Mytilus edulis: one gene and its partner. The protein of the gene in region 1 purifies or fractionates together with the protein of each later gene. This does not show direct contact. Links are inferred from orthologs where the notes say so. Each region holds a gene or a part of one and is shown in the gene's direction. Other genes may lie near its edges.

Evidence for each region. The genes of interacting proteins can lie anywhere in the genome.
Region 2: the proteins of NHP2-like protein 1 (region 1) and nucleolar protein 56-like fractionate together in Homo sapiens (co-fractionation; 3 studies listed by BioGRID, with this or other methods). This does not show direct contact. The link is inferred for Mytilus edulis from reciprocal best matches to the Homo sapiens genes SNU13 and NOP56.

What each region holds. Positions count from the first base shown.
Region 1 is NC_092352.1:86,752,883-86,763,717, forward strand, and holds the start of NHP2-like protein 1, read left to right. Parts: upstream 1-5,449; 5' UTR 5,450-5,565; coding exon 5,566-5,568; intron 5,569-8,564; coding exon 8,565-8,682; intron 8,683-9,264; coding exon 9,265-9,368; intron 9,369-10,647; coding exon 10,648-10,681; intron 10,682-10,835. Other genes in the region: meiotic recombination protein DMC1/LIM15 homolog, read right to left, coding at 203-275, 875-969, 2,234-2,316, 2,587-2,682, 2,827-2,877, 3,625-3,669, 4,321-4,380.
Region 2 is NC_092347.1:5,497,258-5,506,534, forward strand, and holds the start of nucleolar protein 56-like, read left to right. Parts: upstream 1-4,289; 5' UTR 4,290-4,383; coding exon 4,384-4,386; intron 4,387-6,622; coding exon 6,623-6,830; intron 6,831-9,277. Other genes in the region: polycomb group RING finger protein 1-like, read right to left, coding at 164-305, 1,120-1,224, 1,846-2,187. UniProt on the Homo sapiens protein: Involved in the early to middle stages of 60S ribosomal subunit biogenesis. Required for the biogenesis of box C/D snoRNAs such U3, U8 and U14 snoRNAs. Part of the small subunit (SSU) processome, first precursor of the small eukaryotic ribosomal subunit.

The sequences.
Region 1 (10,835 bases):
ATATGGCTTTTTTCCTTATTTCTAAGTTCTGATTCTTTTTTGTTCTTTCCAACATAAGCCACTTTATCAACCCCTATATTAGTCAAAACTGTTTTTTTCACTGGTTGTCAAGCAACTTAATCTAATTCAATTCTTGCACTATGTAATTATTTTTTAATTTTTAGGACACATTTCAGCAGTAATCAATAAATTGTTTGGATACAAGGTATTCTCAGTATCAATAAGAACCACTTTGCCACCTGTATATCCATTGGCTCCAGGAAGCTGTGCTGTTACTGAAATAATAAGTACATATTTTTGTACTGATGTGAAATCACTTTTTAAAAAAATTGTCACAGACAGATGTTCTTATTTTACTTTTAAAAACATAAATTTTTAAAATTTCTAAATTTCCCCAAAGAAGAACTTCCCATCAGTTTTTTATAATACCATTCAAGGAAAAATATTTCTTAAAACGCCTCCACTTTGTTCTTTTGTCAATAGTAATTTTCATGGATATCTCATTTTCATTCTGTTCTACATTTGTAATTTTTAATATACTGCAGCTATAAAATAAAACATACAGGTTCGTGGAAATTTTACGTCTTCCACTCAGAATTAAGAAATGATGGTTTTTTCCCTAAATTCTTCATTTAGAACAGTTATAAGAGTTGCAGCATATAAAGAATGACCATACATTGTCTCGAAATATTAATGTTATTTGTAAAAGGCTTAGAAACAGGTAGAAAGCGAGGCTGTGCCTTTAGTTCATGTGTTGCTCTCAGACAAGTGATTTTGAATGTGTTTTGGCAGTCTTTATATTTTACTCTGTATAAAACATATCAAACATGAAAAGCAAATTATATTCTCAGCATATAAATTATTAAACGCTTACCACACATTGTATGAGACAGCTGTGTTTTCCCTGTTCTGAATTCACCAAAGGCTTCAGTTATTGCCATGCTTTCTAATCCTCCTCCACAAAGTTTACTGAAAGGAAATTTCTTCTAATAAATCTTAAATAGCAATTTGAAATTAATCATGCGTATAAGGAATACAATGGTGTATATTTCAACTAAATAATATTTTCTACTGCAGCAGGTTTATCTAATACAGAAACATAATGCTAAGCTACCAAGGAAGTGGCAAGTGTTTGGAATATGTATCTATTAAAATTCATTGTGTTAAATCATAAGTTTTAGTTTCTTTACTATATATGTATGGCTGTGCAAGAGATTTGGTAATGTCATTTGACACATGAAGTTCCCAGATACTCAATTTGTGTTTAGCCTTGTCTATCCAATTTTGTGATTCTCAAATTTACTTGATGTAGTTAAGTCAGGAAAAATCCAAGTTTTATTTATTCACGACATTTTTCTACTCGCAAAAATAAATCACTTGCGATATTTAGATAGTTACAGTATAATCAATGTTGCAAAGTAAGAAAGATTTAATTTTCTATTGTAATTGTCGATAACATCTTTTTTTATTACATCCATTGCAATCTTTTTTTTTAATAGAACATTGATATTTTGTTTGCTCTTGTACAAGGCCAAATAAAATAATATGTGCGTTTCCTATATTATCTTTGAAAAAAAAAGGGTAGGTAGGTAGATAGGGATTTTTTTATTTTACATTTTTTTACATTGAGTCTATGGGAGAAAAATTCTTACATTATAAACAATGATTATTGGAAAATGACCAAAAAAACTTTAAGGTAGGCTATTTCTAAGCTTAAAATATAGGGTACTACCCCGTAGGTAGGGAAAAAGGTAAACTCTTATTTTTTTATTTGGCCTAAACATCTATGCAGAGGTTTGTTATGAAATAATTAATTCCTAAATCACATATATTGTCAGAAGTGAAAATTTGTAAAACTTTTATAAATAATTGTGACCCTAGAGAGTCTTCATGATGAACTGTTAAATCTACATGCCCAGAGCTCAATTTTCCAATTTTTTTAGTTAGATTCTGTTGGCGGCCTGTAGATATGATTTTTACAGGCCCGAGAGCAATTTTACTAGCCTGGGCTGCCACTCAGGGTGAAGACTGCAGGCTAGATATTCTTTTGATTTGTAGGGACCCACCTGATATTTTCTCAAAATTAAAGATCCATGCAACATGTGCAAACAATTCTTTAATCAACTTCTAATCTCAGTTTTGTATAATGTATAGAAATATAAAAGATTTTACTTTGCTGTACACATAATGGTATAAAAATAAACAATGTTAGTATAACTAAAAAACTAATTACTCTAATTCTATGCTTCCAGTCGTTATTCTGAAGACAGCTTTTCTTTTATCTGAATACTCTAAAGCTGTCAAAAAACCTGGATCCTGGAAATACAAGAATGAAATGAGGCATCTGCTACTGAAATTAAAAAAAAAATAATAAAATTCTCCTCATTCATCATTAAACTGTTTGACTTTGAAATACTAATTTTTGACTTTTTCAACTGGACCAACTCACTCCTTTGAAAATTAATGCCAGACTTTAATCTTTTTCTGGTGTAACTATGTTCCCTACTTATATATATTTTATTCTTAAAACAGGGAGAACTAGTTTGGGAAAATATATTAGGATGATGACAGTAGGTTAATACATACACAGAGCTTATTTGCAGCTTCTTTGATTTTTTCCATTTTTGCTTCAGAAATTCCTTTTACAGCACAAAGTCTTTTCTTTGTGGTCATTTGGATTCCCTGTAATAATACAATTTTGCATATTTAATGGTTAAAATTTCAAAAAAGTATGAAGAGATAAAAGGTACAATATAATGCACTTGCTATTGTTTGAGATTTGATAATAAATAACGAAGTAGTACTTAAAGTTTATACAATACTTGCCTTTATGGTACATATTCCCACTTGCTTCAGTTTCTTTATGTCAGCTACATTCTATAAATTAAAAAAATAATTAAATGATGCAAATATAAATGACACAAAGTTTGGATGGGATTTCCTTGCTGCTTTGAAGACCCATTGTTGGTTGTGGGCTGTGGTTTGCAATTTGGGCGAGTTGATGTCTCTTTGACGCATACCCCAATTTCCTTTCTAACAATTCACATTGAAAAAAGGTTTGGAATATATTGGTTCCATTCCTTCATCTGTTTTACTAAAGCAGAGAATAATAAAAAAAAAAACTCCATATAAAATCTAACATATTTTCTAAGGCACCTATACTGTTTACATCCATTTCAAACATTGAACTGTGCTCAGCAGTAAAATCTTTCTACCTCAATCGTCTTTTGTGATTACAAAATACTTGTACACATGTCAGAGAAAAAGACTGAGATGTAGTTTGAACCTAGATAAGAAAAATTACCTCTTCTTGAAATTCAGAGTAGCAAAACTAGTTTGGAGACCATCTAAATATGTTTTGACTATAGGATGAATGTAAAATCATATAAAATTTCTGATATTGTAATAGAGTACACATTATTGTTCTTGTACAAACGCAACTTTAAACTTTTCTATACATTTTCCAACTGGGAACATCCTGAATTAACAGTATTTGGATTATAGCTGTTGTTAACAATTAAGATGCCCATCCCCCTTTTAAGCACTATAACCTTGATAAATGGTGCTAGCTATAATATATATCAACTATTCTATATTAAATGACTTATATCAGTTAAGACTTACAATTCCATGATTCTGCAGAAGATCTATGTCCTGGAAAAGTGATTCCTGAAATAGTAAATGATTAACGACATAAACACTCCCCTCAACTGGGACGTACTAGCTATCATTCTAAAAGAAATAGGAAGCTGAAGAACATAATATTAATTGAAACTGTCTTCTGGCATGTTATAACCTGTACTGTTGATTTGAATTTTCTCTACATTTTCAGCTCAACCATTAGAGTGCACTCCTTATATATATAAGAACAAATATGTATAAATGTAACATCACTGTAGGTCTATAGGTGAAAAATACTGATCACATCTATCAGCTGAGTGAGCGTTGCCTTGTCATCATTTGCATCTCATTTTATGTTAATATGTCCTTGAAAACAGATTAATAGACTTCTACTATACTTGCACAAATTCTCCACAATTAAAGTGGTGCACCTGCTATTTCATTTTTTGACACAAGCAATTGTGACACTAGGAATTTCTTATACCAAAACATTTTAAATGTAAATCATTTGTACAAATGTAGGTACGGTAGCAGCCAACACATTTTTTCCAAGGGAAAACTCATAAATTATATTTTAATATTTGTTTATTGTTATTCCAATAAAAATAAATAAAGAGACTGGACTAGAGTTTGCAGAGAGAGTAAATAATATGGTTAAACTAATTTCAAAGAGTTGTTACTCAATGCAAGGAGCCATACCTCTTCATCATCTTCATTCACAACTAATTCTTCTTCAACAACCTGGTCTTCCTGCTGCATGATTTTCTCTATAAAAAAAAATCTCGATTTTTTCAAAATCTCTTCAATAATTACAGCGTTATAATTATCATTGATTTCTAATCACTATCAGTGTCACCAAACAAATTAACAATGACCAAACTGGACACTTCATTGATGAGTTTATTCCAAAACACCTATCAGTAGATGGACTGGTCAATGATGAACGCACCGTTTTAACTCCGCCCAGTCAAGTGAAATAAATCAAGTAAGACATAATCTAAAAGCAATGTAAGGGAGATAATTCATATAAAACATTGTAATTAGTGTTGTTTAAATTTTTAATGTTTATTTATCAAACAAAACAAATTCTATAGCCTCAAATCACAAAAATTACTTCCCTTTGTCAATCGTAGAATGGTTCTATACTAGACAAAATTGGCTTTTGCCAATGCAAAGCAGTGGCAGATCGAGGGTGTGTGTTGAGGGTTGGAACCCCCCTTTTTTTTGGACGATCAATGCATTTGAATTAGGACATGTGGTTGGAACACACACCCCCCCTCCCTTTTCGTGGAAAAAATTTGGTTGATTATATAGGTAATCACTGAAGCATGACTGGATCGCCACCCCCCTTTTAGGTCAGTTAGCGGGCCCCCCTTAGGTCAAGTTCTGGATCCGCCACTGTCAAATATATTTCATTGCTAATCAAAGCACCCACAAGGAGCAGAACAATCAACATTAATTACATACAAATGATTACACAAGTGATTCAATTATATGATTAAGACACAATGTCAATGTTATAAAAAATATTTATTAAGACAAGTAGAAGAATACAACAACTTGACAAGCACAGTGTTTAATAATATATAAACTAGGTTAAAAAAAGGTTATTCATGAAGTTGATGCTTAGCTCTCAACTATTCAGATTTACAAAAACCTTGAAGTATGGGAAAACTAGAACAGTCATAAACTTTCTTACATAGTTCTTCTGCACGCCAGTTACCAACTTGCTCTTTCTGCTACAAAACTTGTCGTCTGCTAACACGTGCGAGATAATCGACGTCTTTAAAATGTTTGTATATTTATTTTAAGTCCGTAACAATAAACCCTTTAAATACGTCGATTGTTAAATCAACATCCGGTTTTTAACACGAGGCACAAACGAAAACATTACCACGAGGCCCAGTGAAGCTTTCAGCCGAGGGAATATTTTGAACAACAATCATGGTAAAACACCTTTACAATATAGTATTTTTGTCACAACCTTAATATGCTTGAATTGAAATTTTATTTGTAATAGAAAACATCAACCAAAAGGCGCATTTCAACCTTGAAAAGATTGATAAATGATTTGTTAATAAAAAAAAAGGGGGGTCGTATGGTATACTTTCTTTCAGAGGTAGCATTAAAAAAAGAAAGTTATTAACTGGCGTTCCCAAAGTATAATGTCCATAACCATATAATAATAACAATAAAGCTTGATATAACAAAGGTAGCTCATTTAATTATTAATTTAATAATACCAATGACATGTCAATCTTTAATACCTGAGGCCTTTTCGAATGATGACCTCAGCATACACATGGTATGATCTATTAACTTATCAGAAAATTATATACTATCATGCATGTTATTCAATCCATCTTGTATGGGAAAGGATTTGTATAGGCACTGCCTTTTGTCCAATCCCTTTGTTTAAATGTACATTTGATATTTGAACAATAAAATATTGGCACTGGCTACGGTTACATGGAAATGTAACAATAATAATAATATTATTGTTACATTGGAGACTAAATGCCGAAACGCAAAGTCGGGTAAGGAACCGATTAATTACGAATGTAACAATAATTACTGAGGCTACGGTTACATTGCGTTATTGTTACACGAAAAACAGCAATATACGATGGGTCTATTAAAATGTACAAGATAATAAAAAAGACATTTATTTTATATTTACAATACTATAGTGTTATTAACTGGCTGTTTCTGTATTGGCACTGGTATAGATTCAAGGTTTGCTGTATTGGCCTCGAGACCTGTAGGGTCGAGGGCCAATACAGCTGACCGAGAATCTATACCAGTGCCAATACAGAAACAGCCAGTTCATAACACTTTTATTAAATGATTATAAGAGAATTAAAAACCGGAAGTGAACGTCCCGTATTAGCCCATGGGCCAATACAGCTTTTTTCCCGCTTTTTTCTGTATTTGCCCTGTTTTTTCCGTTTGAAAACATTAAGACATTACAAAACATTGCACATCATTTAACCTGTTTATTTTATGACTTTAATTTAAAAATTATTATACAAATGTTTTTATGCATAACGATACTTCAAGAGTAAAGTAATGGCGTAAGAAAATTGAAAACCGGAAGTGAACGTCCTGTATTGCCCTAGGGCTAATACGACTTTTTTCCCGCTTTTTTCTGTATTGGCCCTGTTCGAAGAGCAATATTAACTCTTGATTTATATCGACAGTGGAACGTTTTTAGTATTGCACATGCTGATTTATCCGTATTAGGGCTTATTTGCTCATATCATTTAATAAATACAATTATTAAATATAAATTCTTTAATTATTTATTTGCAATGACATTTTCTACATATCCAGTAAGTGGTTTTTGGAGCATTTCTAAGTCCGACACATTTTTGGTGAAACCACTCCAAGCAGCCATCACACACCAGTGATGCCGCACTGTGAACGTCCGTATCACACACTGTACAGTTCCATTCTGCGATATCCCGTTTTGATGATAAGGCAACCTTTCATGTTTGCCATGCTTCCGATGAGAAATACTTTTTCACTCTAGCAATGTTTATATTCTCATCTAATATTTTGGTTGGAAACATGTGATGTAGTTTTATGTCATCTTTCAGTATGGTCACATTGCCGTCCATTACGGATGTAAGGTTTACCTCGGATTTCAGTATCCAACTTAGCATAGCTGAAAAAAACAATAAATTATAAAAATGCAAGTCAAAAGTCAAAAGTTCATCAAATACTAATAAATAGTGAATTATTTTCCATTATTCAAACTGACATCGCCATGGCTAAAAAGTAAAAAGGCAAAACATACAAATAAAAGTAAAAAAAACACAACATGGAAAACTACAGACTAAGAAACACGAACCCTATCAAAAACTGGGGGTATATCAACTGTCCATTTTTTTAAAAAGTTATTTACCTTCTTCTTTTTCCTTTGGTCGTCTTTTAAGAAACGGCATGACTCTCTTCGTACTTTTGGGCAATCCAACGACGCAATCTCGCATGAATATAATGACCCATTGATATTCGTTTATAGGTTAAACTTAACTTACCTTTGGTTTGGACGAGCTCCATCTGATTTTGAAACGACATTACGTCCTCCGTGGATACATGTATACAGAAGTTCACAGTATTTTACTTCACAGTTAGCAAACTTTGCTATAGATGAATCATTTTTTTTAGAACTGTGTTTGTATAGCTGAATGAAATTTGTGTCTTGATATTGTTTCAGTTTTGTTTCAAACGAATCCCAAGTTTTAAATTGTTCACCCAAAACAAAATTGGTCACAGGAATCTCTTCATCCATTGTGTAAAGTAAAATGACAGTTATACGAGTAGGTGTGCAGTTAAATACTTAAACTAAAGTGAACACTTTTCTCAGCCCGAGTTCTCAACAACAAATCATTGGACTATATTTTCGCCTTTGGCACTACTTATCTAAAGTAGTATCTTTAAAACACCAAATGTGACCATTTATACGTTAAAAAGACCAATTTAAACACCATTTGTTAATCGATAATATTTATTACTTATCATTATTACAAGTATTATTTCGTACAGATGCAAGATTAAGGCAACCGTTAAACCATAGAAGATTTAAGTTTAATAAATCGAGCGTACATTGCTGTTTTTCATGTAACAATAACGCAATGTAACCGTAGCCTCAATAATTATTGTTACATTCGTAATTAATCGGTTCCTTATCCGACTTTGAATTCCGGCATTTAGTCTCCAATGTAACAATAATATTTTTATTATTGTTACATTTCCATGTAACCGTAGCCAGTGCCTAAAATATTTTGAATTGAATACACATGGCATACACTCAAAAATCCTTATTATAGACCTTAAATAAGAAAGCGCAAAATGGATAAAAGATAAATATAAATTCAACATTTTTCTGCCATACATGGCATCTGTTACTTAATGTTAATATATTTGTATTTTTATTTCAGACTGAAGAAGTAAATCCTAAAGCTTATCCATTAGCTGATCCAAACTTAACTCAGAAAATATTGGACTTGGTACAGAAGGCAGCCAGCTGTAAAGAATTGAGGAAAGGAGCCAATGAAGGTATAATCAATCATAAAAGCCAATATCTAAACCTTCCATTGGTCAAATCTTATTGTGTTTGTATACATCTTCCTTCATGAAAACATTCGAAAAAATTCTGAAAACAAATGAAGAACAAAGAAATGCAAAGCATTGTATTTGGTATTTTTCATGTGCTATACATGTACAAACTTGTGCACATGTATCCATTTGAAAGACACTCAAATCTAGCTTAAAAGTGAAAAAAATACATGTATAACTGAGATAACTCTATCTCTGTTTTTCAAATATGGTATAGAAAATTTGAATGAAATAAAAAGATATTGTCTTTTTTTTTAAATGACTAAATGTCATATCTGATACTCGTATAGTACTTTTTTAAATGCCTGAAATTATATTAAAAGCATAGATTGGCAAAAATAGAAAATTCAAATAAGATCATGAATAAACTTGATAACTTGTACAATCAAAATTTCAAAGCCTATTGGCAACTATAACAATACTGTGAGAATACTATCAAACTAAAAAATGGTAAGAATACTTTAAATAGATGACAAAATTTTCCTTGCTGAGTTAGTTTTAATTTACTGTATTTGTTTACAGCCACAAAGACCTTAAACAGAGGAATTTCAGAGTTTATTGTGATGGCTGCAGATGCTGAACCTTTGGAGATTTTGTTACATCTTCCTTTACTGTGTGAAGACAAGGTAAAAAGTACATCTTCTTGTGTACAATTGTGTTGTATGAATAAGGAGATAAGTTATGATTCCCAATTAGACAATAACATTTGTAAATATCAAAATTCAAATGAATTGGATGTACATTATTGTAGGCCACCGTACAACCTGCCACAACACCCCATACTATATAATGTCTGGTTGAAAAGGCCCATACATGAAAGTGCAAAACATTCACTAGAAAAAACTTTTTTAATTTATAACAAAACAATTTAAGAAAGATCAATTTGACAGACATGAACCAAAGACAAGAATTTAACTACAGACACTTAAAGAATGATGCAGTACAAATAGTAACAATTGAAAATGATGATCTCAGCCACTAAACTGAGCAGGGATAAATGTAGGGGGTGTTTCATAAGAAAAAAAGTACATTTAAAATGTTTAAGAATTTCCATTATGGATAGTATTGCTTTCCAATTTTTTGTATAAAGTCAGACTTGGCCACATGTCAGTGATATTGTTTGCCTCAAATTACAGCCGAAATTCTGCCTTTTCCCCTGGAGAAAATTCCCAATTACTAAAAAAAAAAAACTTAAAATTCCTCCCAAAAAGTTTTACATTTTCCCAAAACAGTGATGGCATTGGTAGTAATATTTGTAAATTTCGTATTCATGTTATTATTTTGATATTAAATTACCAGTTTTCTGATCAGAATCATCATGGTGTTTGTAACACAGATGGTTTTCAATGCATTAAGTACCATCATTGTTGGTTTCTTTCCCCTCTATGAAAAGTACCTTTCTGGTTGAAATTGTCTGACAACCAAAATATACATGAAAAAACAGTGCAAAAAAGACAGCAAAGGTCAGCAAAAAATAGAGATGAGTTAAGAATCAAAAATATACAAATTTCCCAATTTCAATAAAAAAATATGCAATTTTCCCAATAAAAAAACGGTAGAGGTACATGTAGTTTTGAAAAAAGACAACAGTATCACTGCATGTATGCCTATGTCTGCTATGCCATTTGTCTCATTTTAAGTTCAAGGAAGTTCACATTTAAGTTATGATCACATTATCTTGAAACTAATCTAGAACTGTTACTCTCACTTTCTTAATCAAATTTAGAGCCCCTTCCCACCAGACATGGCTAGGGGTACATATTTTTGTATTATCAGATAAAAGTAATGGATCTATAAAACAAATTCTCATCCATTTTAAAAGAACATATACATGTACATGTAGATATCATTTTCTTGCATTTTTTTAATGAACCATATATCATTAGATTATTTCTTATGTTTCAGAATGTGCCATATGTGTTTATAAGGTCCAAACAAGGTATGTATTTTAAGTCATATAGTGCAAACAAAAATGTTCAGTTAAAAAGAGGGCATGGCGGTAATATATTTAATAGTTTTAATCACTATGAGATATCTCAGTATATTCATGGGTATCAGAGAGTTCAATCTAGATCTCAAAAATCCCACTGTGT
Region 2 (9,277 bases), on another chromosome or scaffold:
AATTTATCAAACTGTTGATCTTTTAGAAAATGGTGACCTAAAGAAAATGTTCACTGATGATCAGATGCATGTTATAGAAAGTTTAAAAATGATTTGAATGTAATCATCAATTAAAAAATACACATCATTTAAATAGATAAGTAATAAACATAAATGAGCTTACACGTATGCATGCATTCTGTAATGGTTGAAGCTTCATACAGGTATCCACCACACAAGGCACATGTGATGTAAGTATTTATAGCACACAATCTCACACTCACTGGTTCCTTACTTAAACTTGGACATACTGGAATTTGAGCTAGCTAAAAATAAAAGTTATGATAAAAATTTCAAATATCTAATTGAGCATCCATAGTATTAATTTATTGTAACAATCATGTTATGTCTCACTTTAGATACAAAATAATCTCTATGAAAATGAGAAGTTGTAAATGCTTAAACAATTTCATACAAGATATCATTGACTTCAATTAAATGTTTTATCTCAAACTGACCTAATCATAAAGAAATAACTCCAGAACGATAAAAGTGACCCAACAAAATTCTTACTTGATCTGATATTTGTGGTAATAAGGATTGTGTACAAGTTTAATAACATTTGGTTGAGGCAAAATTAAGTAAGAGAACCGAAATGAAAAAATTCAGCAGTTTTTAATTTTTTGGGACATAACTCTAGAAGGGTAAAAGTGACGCCAGCAAAATTCAAACTTGATCTGTGTTTTTTGGTAATAATCATTGTGTAAAAGATTCATAATCATTTGGTTGAGGCAAACTAAAGTGAGAGAGCCGAAACGAAATATTCAGCAGTTTTTAATTTGTAAAAGAGCATAACACTAGAAATTTAAACTGACACAAACAAAATTCAAATTTGATATGTGTTTTGTCGTAATAAGCATTGTGTATAAGTATCATAACATTTGGTTGAGGCAAACTAAAGTTAGAGAACGTAAATCAATTTCAGGACGATGAAATACGGACAAGGGTTCAACTTAATGCCCCCTCTACTATGGCCAAGGCATAAAAATAGTTCTTTAACAATATTACAACATATTACTGAAACCAAATTTTATATGGTAAATCTGACTATATCAACAACAAAAATTATGATTTAACCACCTGTTCTTTCAAAGATAATTTTGTTTCTGGTTTTTCCTCCGACTGGCTGTTGTTAAGGACTGTACTACAAGATGGTTGTTCTGTGTCTTCATTGTTGAGATTGCTCTGAAAAATTCACATTAACAACTTTTATAATATCCAGTCTATATACTAAGATTTATACTGTTTATCTTCTTAAAAAACACATCGTATTCAATAAAATTGAGAATGGAAATGGGGAATGTGCCAAAGAGACAACAACCTGACCATAGAAAAAAAACAACAGCAGAAGGTCACCAACAGGTCTTCAATGTAGTGAGAAATTCCCGCACCCGGAGGCGTCCTTCAACTGGCCCCTAAACAAATATATACTAGTTCAGTGATAATGAACGCCATACTAATTTCCAAATTGTTTATTATGACACATCTAATGAATTATTAATCATTTGTTAATTGATAATTAAAGTTTAACATGTTCATAACAGTGCAAAAAAAATTCTAGTTCAACAAAAATATTGCCAAGAGATCTCATGACTCATGTAAACTATTTACTTAAAATGAATAAAATTGAGAATGGAAATGAAGAATATATCAAAGTGACAACAACCCTACCAAAGCGCAGAAAACAGATGAAATATTTTGTTATTCTATTGCAATTGTTCCTATCCAAGGTACATGTAAGTTAAAGAAAAAAGAAGTTATATTTAAACAGCTAAGATAAGCTTATATTAAATGTCCATACTTTACCTCTGTAGTATTTAAATTTTCATCAACCTTTTCATCCTTTGCATTGTCTTTTTGTTCAATTGAATCTACACAAAGTATAGTGGGTACTGAATCATTATCACAAATATTGTCTTCAAAATGTAAGTTGCATAGTCTTGTATGGTCGGTTATGAGAACATCTGGTTTTGCTTGTTTTATTTTCCCTAACCATACTTCACTTCTGTCATCATCAGTCCCTGGGAGACAATGAAGTGATATCTTTTCTTCATTCACTATATGTTCTTCATTTTTAGCACACAAAACACAGCACAATTTTCCTTCACATTGTTCCTTTATCTCTGATGAGGTTTCACAAGTTTCCATTGAACTGAAACAAATATTAACTTATAAATGCATCAATTATATTTTATTTATAAACCATACTAATGTAAATTATGAACAACAATCTTAATCATTCATATTATGATTTATAGCATATTTTTTTTTAATGGTAGATATAATTGCATAATTCATGGTATATGTAGCTACAATTTGTTCATGTCTGTTTCTAGACATAAATATATTCCTCCCCTAATAGTCTTCTCTATCTTGTGTAATTTTTGTTTGGTAGAATGATTGAAATATACATATAGATCAATATTTTACTAAGGTATGATGGTTAGTTTACGATGGTTTATTGCATTGCATTTCCCATCATGATTTCCTTGATAGAGGGTTGCTGCTACAAGGAAGCTTTTAAACCACGAGTTCCAAATGGTGAAGTTGAAATCATCCCTTCGTAAATTTTATGAAAGCCATCACACGTTGGTTGACCGTTATGGAATAACGGTTTCACAAATGATATCGGATATGTTCTTTAAGTCATGTAAGTCCTAACTACAATCCTCATCCCTTTCATGAATATGACCTACCGAATTAGGCTAAATTACCGGATTTTTTAAAACATAAGCAACACGACAGGTGCCACATGTGGACACATCTGCTTACCCTTCCAGAGCACCTTAGATCACCTCTAGTTTTTGGTGGCGTTCATGTCGCTTATTCTTTAGTTTTCTATGTTATGTCATGTGTTTTATTGTTTGTCTGTTAGTCTTCTTTCAATTTTAGCCAAGTGTTGTCAGTTTATTTTCAATTTATGAGTTTGACTGTCCCTCTGGTATATTTCGTCCCTCTTTCATTATTGTGACAGGTGAATAAATTCACTTCAAGGTACATGTAAGTATTCAATATAAAAAAAGAAGATGTGCTATGATTGCCAATGAGACAACTCTCCACAAGAGACCAAAATGACACAGAAATTAACAACTATAGGTCACCATACAGCCTTCAACAATGAGCAAAGCCCATTCAAGTTTGCATTTGCGAGTATCAGCATGACATCTTCCTTGCAAAACAAGTGCAATATTATTAAGATCAGATTACTTATGTTCTTAAGTTTGATATAGGGGGTTTTGTTCCCAATCTGTTATCGAACCTGAGTCTGTTCACCCAAATGCATGTTCTCTTTCACATTCTCACCTGACATGTTCACACCCTGTGAATCATGAATAATGTCATGATGAGCTGATTTTATATAATTAAGTCATTCAACTCTAAGACTTGTAACAGAAAGACAGAAGTTTCCTAACAGCTATCAAACTTGTCACAAGCTGTTAAACAGACCTGATGCTAGCTCATAGGTACTTATGTAGTCCAAATAATTATGACGTCTTATAATAGCCTTTCAAGAGGTCATAATTATTTGGACTAGTACTTATGCTATTTTTTTACTTTTTTAGGACCTATGAGCTACGGTTCTGCAGCTAGAGATAGTGATGACCATACCAAGGGGTGTCAAATTAAAACACCTTATCGCTAAAACCCGCTGACCCGGCCACTTGAACTTTTGACGCATACAACAATCACTTTTCCATTGCCATGATTGCGGCGTCAGATATTTTGTTTTAGGACATCAAAATTTTACAGAAACCTGTGTGATCTCCAGTAATGACAGACAAATAGCGATAAGGTGTTTGGGCCGAATTTGTATGCGAATTTGAGCACTCCATTGGGATAGCAGAACTTTTTATAGTTTTAAGGTATAACTTTAATTCCTGTGATTAAGGTTGTGCGGTACTTCAATTCGTTTCTTATTTTTTATTACATCAGGTATATATATATTGAAATATACTGTTAGCTGATTACATCTACATGATGATGTTCTAAGTAAAAATTAAAATTTAGAAAATCAGCACTCTTCTCTTTAGTCTGATGAATAGTTCATGCATATCTCCTTATTATTAGAATTTTGTGGTATTGCTATTCATTAATCTGGTCATTCTTGTTTTATGTTTTACCCCATAACCAACCTTACGACTGTTGTTTAACCTTAAAACACGGAAAAGTTGCATTTTGTAACTGACTTTTTAAATGCAGACGCCATTGTAAACTTCCGCCTATCACAGGGTTTGTAAGACCTCTCCTTATTGGCCATTTCCTGAGATCTGTGTGAAAAGAACCAATGAAAAATCATTTAAGATAAGGACTATTCTTAGTGAATGGCGAAAATTGTTTGTAAAGATGGTGAGCACGTGGCTTTTAACTTTTTGAGTACATGCACAAATCTAATTATCTTATTTTATACATAACATGTTTAAGTACAAAACTTTGCATAGGCAATCTTCGATTCCAAAATGTCAATGCTTAGACTGTGCTATTTTCCATAGATTTATTGAAATTATCAGCACATGCCGACTGGACATGTGGTCTGATTTATTTTGAGCGCAGTTTAAAAGCATACCATCAGCTGGTATACATGTACGATATGGTTGTTTTTCACTGACGCGTTATAGATGTATACTGTTGGAGTGTTTCTGTACATTGACATAGCGAAAAAAAATATATATTTAATTGAGGGGTTGGAGGGGGGTTGGCTGTCACCAATTTGATTTGGTTCTGGTCGTTCCCTTAGGCAGCAACCATTTGATTTTTCATGGGGGGCTATGGTTTTTTGTGGAAAAAAAAGTTTGTTTCCAGTTTTTGGAGAAAAAAATAATTTGTTTTTGATTCTGAGAAAAAAAAAATGTTTGTTTCACCCTCAGCTGCCACTATATGTAATGATAAAATTGAAAGAACAAAATTGTTTTCGACTTGTCGAAAAAAAATTTGTCCAGAAAAAAAAACCATAGCCCCCCCCCCCCCCCCCCCCCGAAAATCAAATGGTTGCTGCCTTATATTTGATTGGTTCAAACCTGATTGAAAACAAAAAATTTTGATATTAAATGTGGGAGACCTATCATTTTTGAAAAAGCCTGCATTATTTATTTATTTTTCTTTGTATCTCACCATACATGAACCACTTACTTGCAGCATGTACATACATATTCACACCCATTCACATTGACATTCACACTCTTTTACTTTCGCACCCCACATGTTCATGCCCTAAGTCTTTGCACCCTTTTTATTGGTTTGTGATTAATAATTTTGTAATCAATCAAGTTTGGTTAACTTGTGTATATAATATGTAAATATTTTTCTTCATTGTTTCAGATAAAAAGTGGTTCTCTAATCTCACTGGTTTTTTTTTGTGTTGAATAAATCTTAATCAAGTTTTGGTTACTGGTAGCTTTTTTTATGTTTCAAAATAAAGTGAGATTCTTGCGGTTTTTTTTTAATGCTGAATAAATCTTAAATAGTGTTTTGGTTAGTGTATGCTTTGCTGTAAAATTAATAAAAAAAAAAAAAAAAATCATTGGTTCTAAATAGAGTGACATTATGTCAACATCTAGTTTTTGATGTTTTTGTTTTTGTTTTTTACATCAAAGCAAGTTCAAACAACAATTCATCATGATTATTAAACATACAATAGCTGTGTATAAATACCAATTAGCAATTATTATACATAAGTAAAATTTAATAGGTAATCTTCAAATTAATAAAAACGACATTTCATATATAGTAATTCACCAATTTTATTCAGGAAACTTTTGTTTTATGGTGTAAATATACATATAAATTTTAACTATTCAACTGGAAAATATTAAAAATTGGGTGTGAACATGTAGGGGCAGATGTACCTTGGACGCAAACGTGTAGGGTGTGAAAGTACTGGGCTCAAACAAACCTGATATCACCAAATATAGCCAATCTTAATTCTGTCATCAGTGGAATCAACATTTAGGTTCAGTCTGTGGTTCAAGTTTTTGTAAGACATCCTCATTATTATATGTCCTGTATGGATTTTGACGAGTAATGAAGTCGAAGTTGAATTACATTGTCTTACTTTCATGTCATCTTGAAATCTGGACAGAAGCTAGTGTATAACAAAAATACAGTTTAAATCAGAGCAAAATTTATATAATGAAAACTATCCATTTAGTTATAAAAAAACATGTGCATCAATTTAGTTTAATTTTGCGGCTCATACGACTTTATCAAGTAGATACAATGTACAGTCTAGAGTGTTTGTTGCACATCAATTACTTTGTGTAATGTTCAATAAAACTGGCAGAAGATTTTTAATGATTTAGAGATAGTATCCAAAGCAAACTTTTAAGAATATAGTTTTTAGGTAGATGGACTTAGTTTTTTACAGTAAATATTCATAGACAGTCTGAGATTAAATGTATTTGGCAAGTTAATTAGTAAACTTTCATGGAAACTTATGAAACTTGGACAACAGCAATCACAGAACATCTTACAAAATTTTTAGATATATATATAAGATGGACATATGAAAATCATTTAAAATCCTGACTATTACATGTATTAATGTAGTATAAATAATAAATTATTGTAAAAAGTTTTATCTTTTCAGGCTCAAGTATTGTTTATTTTGTATGAACATGCGTCAGGGTATGCTCTGTTCAGAGTGAAAGAATTTGAAGAGGTATCAGTATTACAGAGTCAGGTAGAGAAATGTGTAACAGATCTCAGCAAGTTCCAGTCTGTTGTCAAACTAGTGGCTTTCTCACCATTCAAAAGTGGTACCAATGCATTGGACAACATTAATAGTGTTTCAGAAGGTAAACATTAGAAATTTTGCCAAATTTATGATGTATTTTTCAGTTCTTTAAAGTTTACATATTTCAGCATAAATTTATACATCTAAGTTAAATAGTTTAACCTTCTTTGTTCTTTTTTATTATACAAAACAAATTAATGTTTTTACCTTTTCTATTTTTGGGATACGATTGCTTTCAAGCAATCTGTAGACTTTTACAGTTGACTCAGGGCTCATTCCCTCACGTCAACCGTTTTATTCTAAACATTCAGCAACATCTCAGATTCTTATGATTGTCTTGCTTTAAATGGTAAAAAGAAGCAAAAAAATGAACATAAACAACTTTCCTGTAATGTTCTTCTCATAATCTTCATGTTTAATATTTCCCTTGACTTATATGCGTGTTTTTAACAACACGGAAAATCAAAATTGAGCAGTATTAATATTTAGTGTTTTTATAAATTTAGAAACACGTCAGAGGGATTTCCCCAGTTTAGATAAATGCGAGAGTTCTCTGAATTCCGATAATTCTATTTCTGTCATATAAGAACTGAAGTGGAGTTTTTCTATATTTAACCGTTATGAAGCTGATATTTGATACTGTACTCTCATAAAGAAATGGAGAACCATTCATCATATCATTTAATAAATGTTCTTGTTCCAAGTCGCAAGTCGGGGGGTTTGTTTATGTATTAATGCGCATGCGTATAGTTTTCTTGATTTCAAGGGGTATGAGATTGAGTGGTTGCTCTGGATTCCCCACTTCATTGATTAATTTGAAACTCATGGGATTCTTTCTATGTCTGTCTGCTATCGAGGGTTATTGTTGTTGCATGATTTTAAATTATATGCATCATTTAAATAAAAATATTTACATTTAAATTATATGTTTACCTATAACACCCCTTCAGCCGAAATGGAATCTTCCATATTATCGTTTCGAGTTGTCTCCACTCTGGCCTTCAAGAAGTATTTTCCGTCAACAAAATACACTACGACTCGTCAAGAAAAATTAAGTTGTTAGATGTCGATAAACGTCGTATCATATGACGAATGATCTTAATTTCAACAGAGGAGTGTGTACAGAAAGGAGTCGTTCCCACTGACCCCAAAAAATAATTTTTAAAGCGTTAGAAATTGTGTTCCTCCTAGAATTAACGATGATAAGATACGAAGTGAAATACCTTCTCTCACTCTCACTGACTGTCTGCTGTGGAAAGTAAACTTGGAATTGATAGCATACATGTGAACCTCCCGACTCCCGTTTTCAGGGGTCTCCTCCCGTCCTCCCGTTAAGGAAAAAAAAATCCCGTGTATGAAATATTTCATGAAAGAAAATTTTCAGCTTCCATTTTTGATAATCTCTTACTACGGTACAGGTGTAATTTACACCTGTGTCAAATTTTTACCTGTAAATCAAAGAAGATGTGTAATTATATGGCTTCTCTTGACAGCTTGGGTGTCAAACATACTGGTAATCAACGATGCTTACGTCTGGCTAATGATCGCTAATTGCCGTTGTGTGATAAAAACTTTGTGCATTAAATTTTTGAAATAAATTTTGGTTACTTCCCTTTGATTTATCCTATTATAAGTTATTTATCGTTCAAAAATGTAAATTGTAAAATAAATGAATTATATTTTAATCAAATAACCATAAAAGGATGGTAATTAAATGAACTCAAATGTTTTGGACAAACAAAATAATATAAATTTACAAAATATTGTGGGAATCTAGACTTCTTTTCAAAGATTAAATTGAAATTTATATAAGAATTCTGACCTTAAAATATTCTATTAATATGCAGAATTGTAAGAATAAAGATAAAAAAAAAAACAGACTGAATAAAACTCTGTATCCCTTAAACAAAAGGTGTAGAAATGTCTCAATAATTTTGGTCAGTAAAATAGATTATCGGTCTTTCAACTAAATAAAGCAAAATATTTAGCACAGAGTCTCAAATTTCTAGAAAAATTACTTTTATAATGCTAAAAAAAGCATACAATTTACTATTGTTATTGTTAGTTATTTTTAAATTAATTTATGATGTTTAAAATATACATGTATAGCATATTTCTTTCTTATTTGTATATAATCATTTATTTGCAAGCAGTGAACAATTAATTTTCAAACACAACACTAAACAAGAAACAGATTCTTCTCAATATTTTTATTTGATAATCATTCAGATAGATTCAATAGAAAGGCAACAAGGGTACTAGGGTGTATAAAAACATTACATTATGATGTAAATGAAAGAACACTTTAAAGACAATTTCTACATTGTACGGTTACATTATATGATTAACGACAAAATTAATGTCGATAAAAAACCTCCTGATCTGAGTCCCAATCTCCCAGGGCTCACGCTACCAGGCGACTTGGGCGAAGAAGTCGCCTTCCCGATCGTCACTTCGCTTTCCCCGACCTCCAAAAGCGAAAACAAGTCGCCCTGTTCTTGACGACAG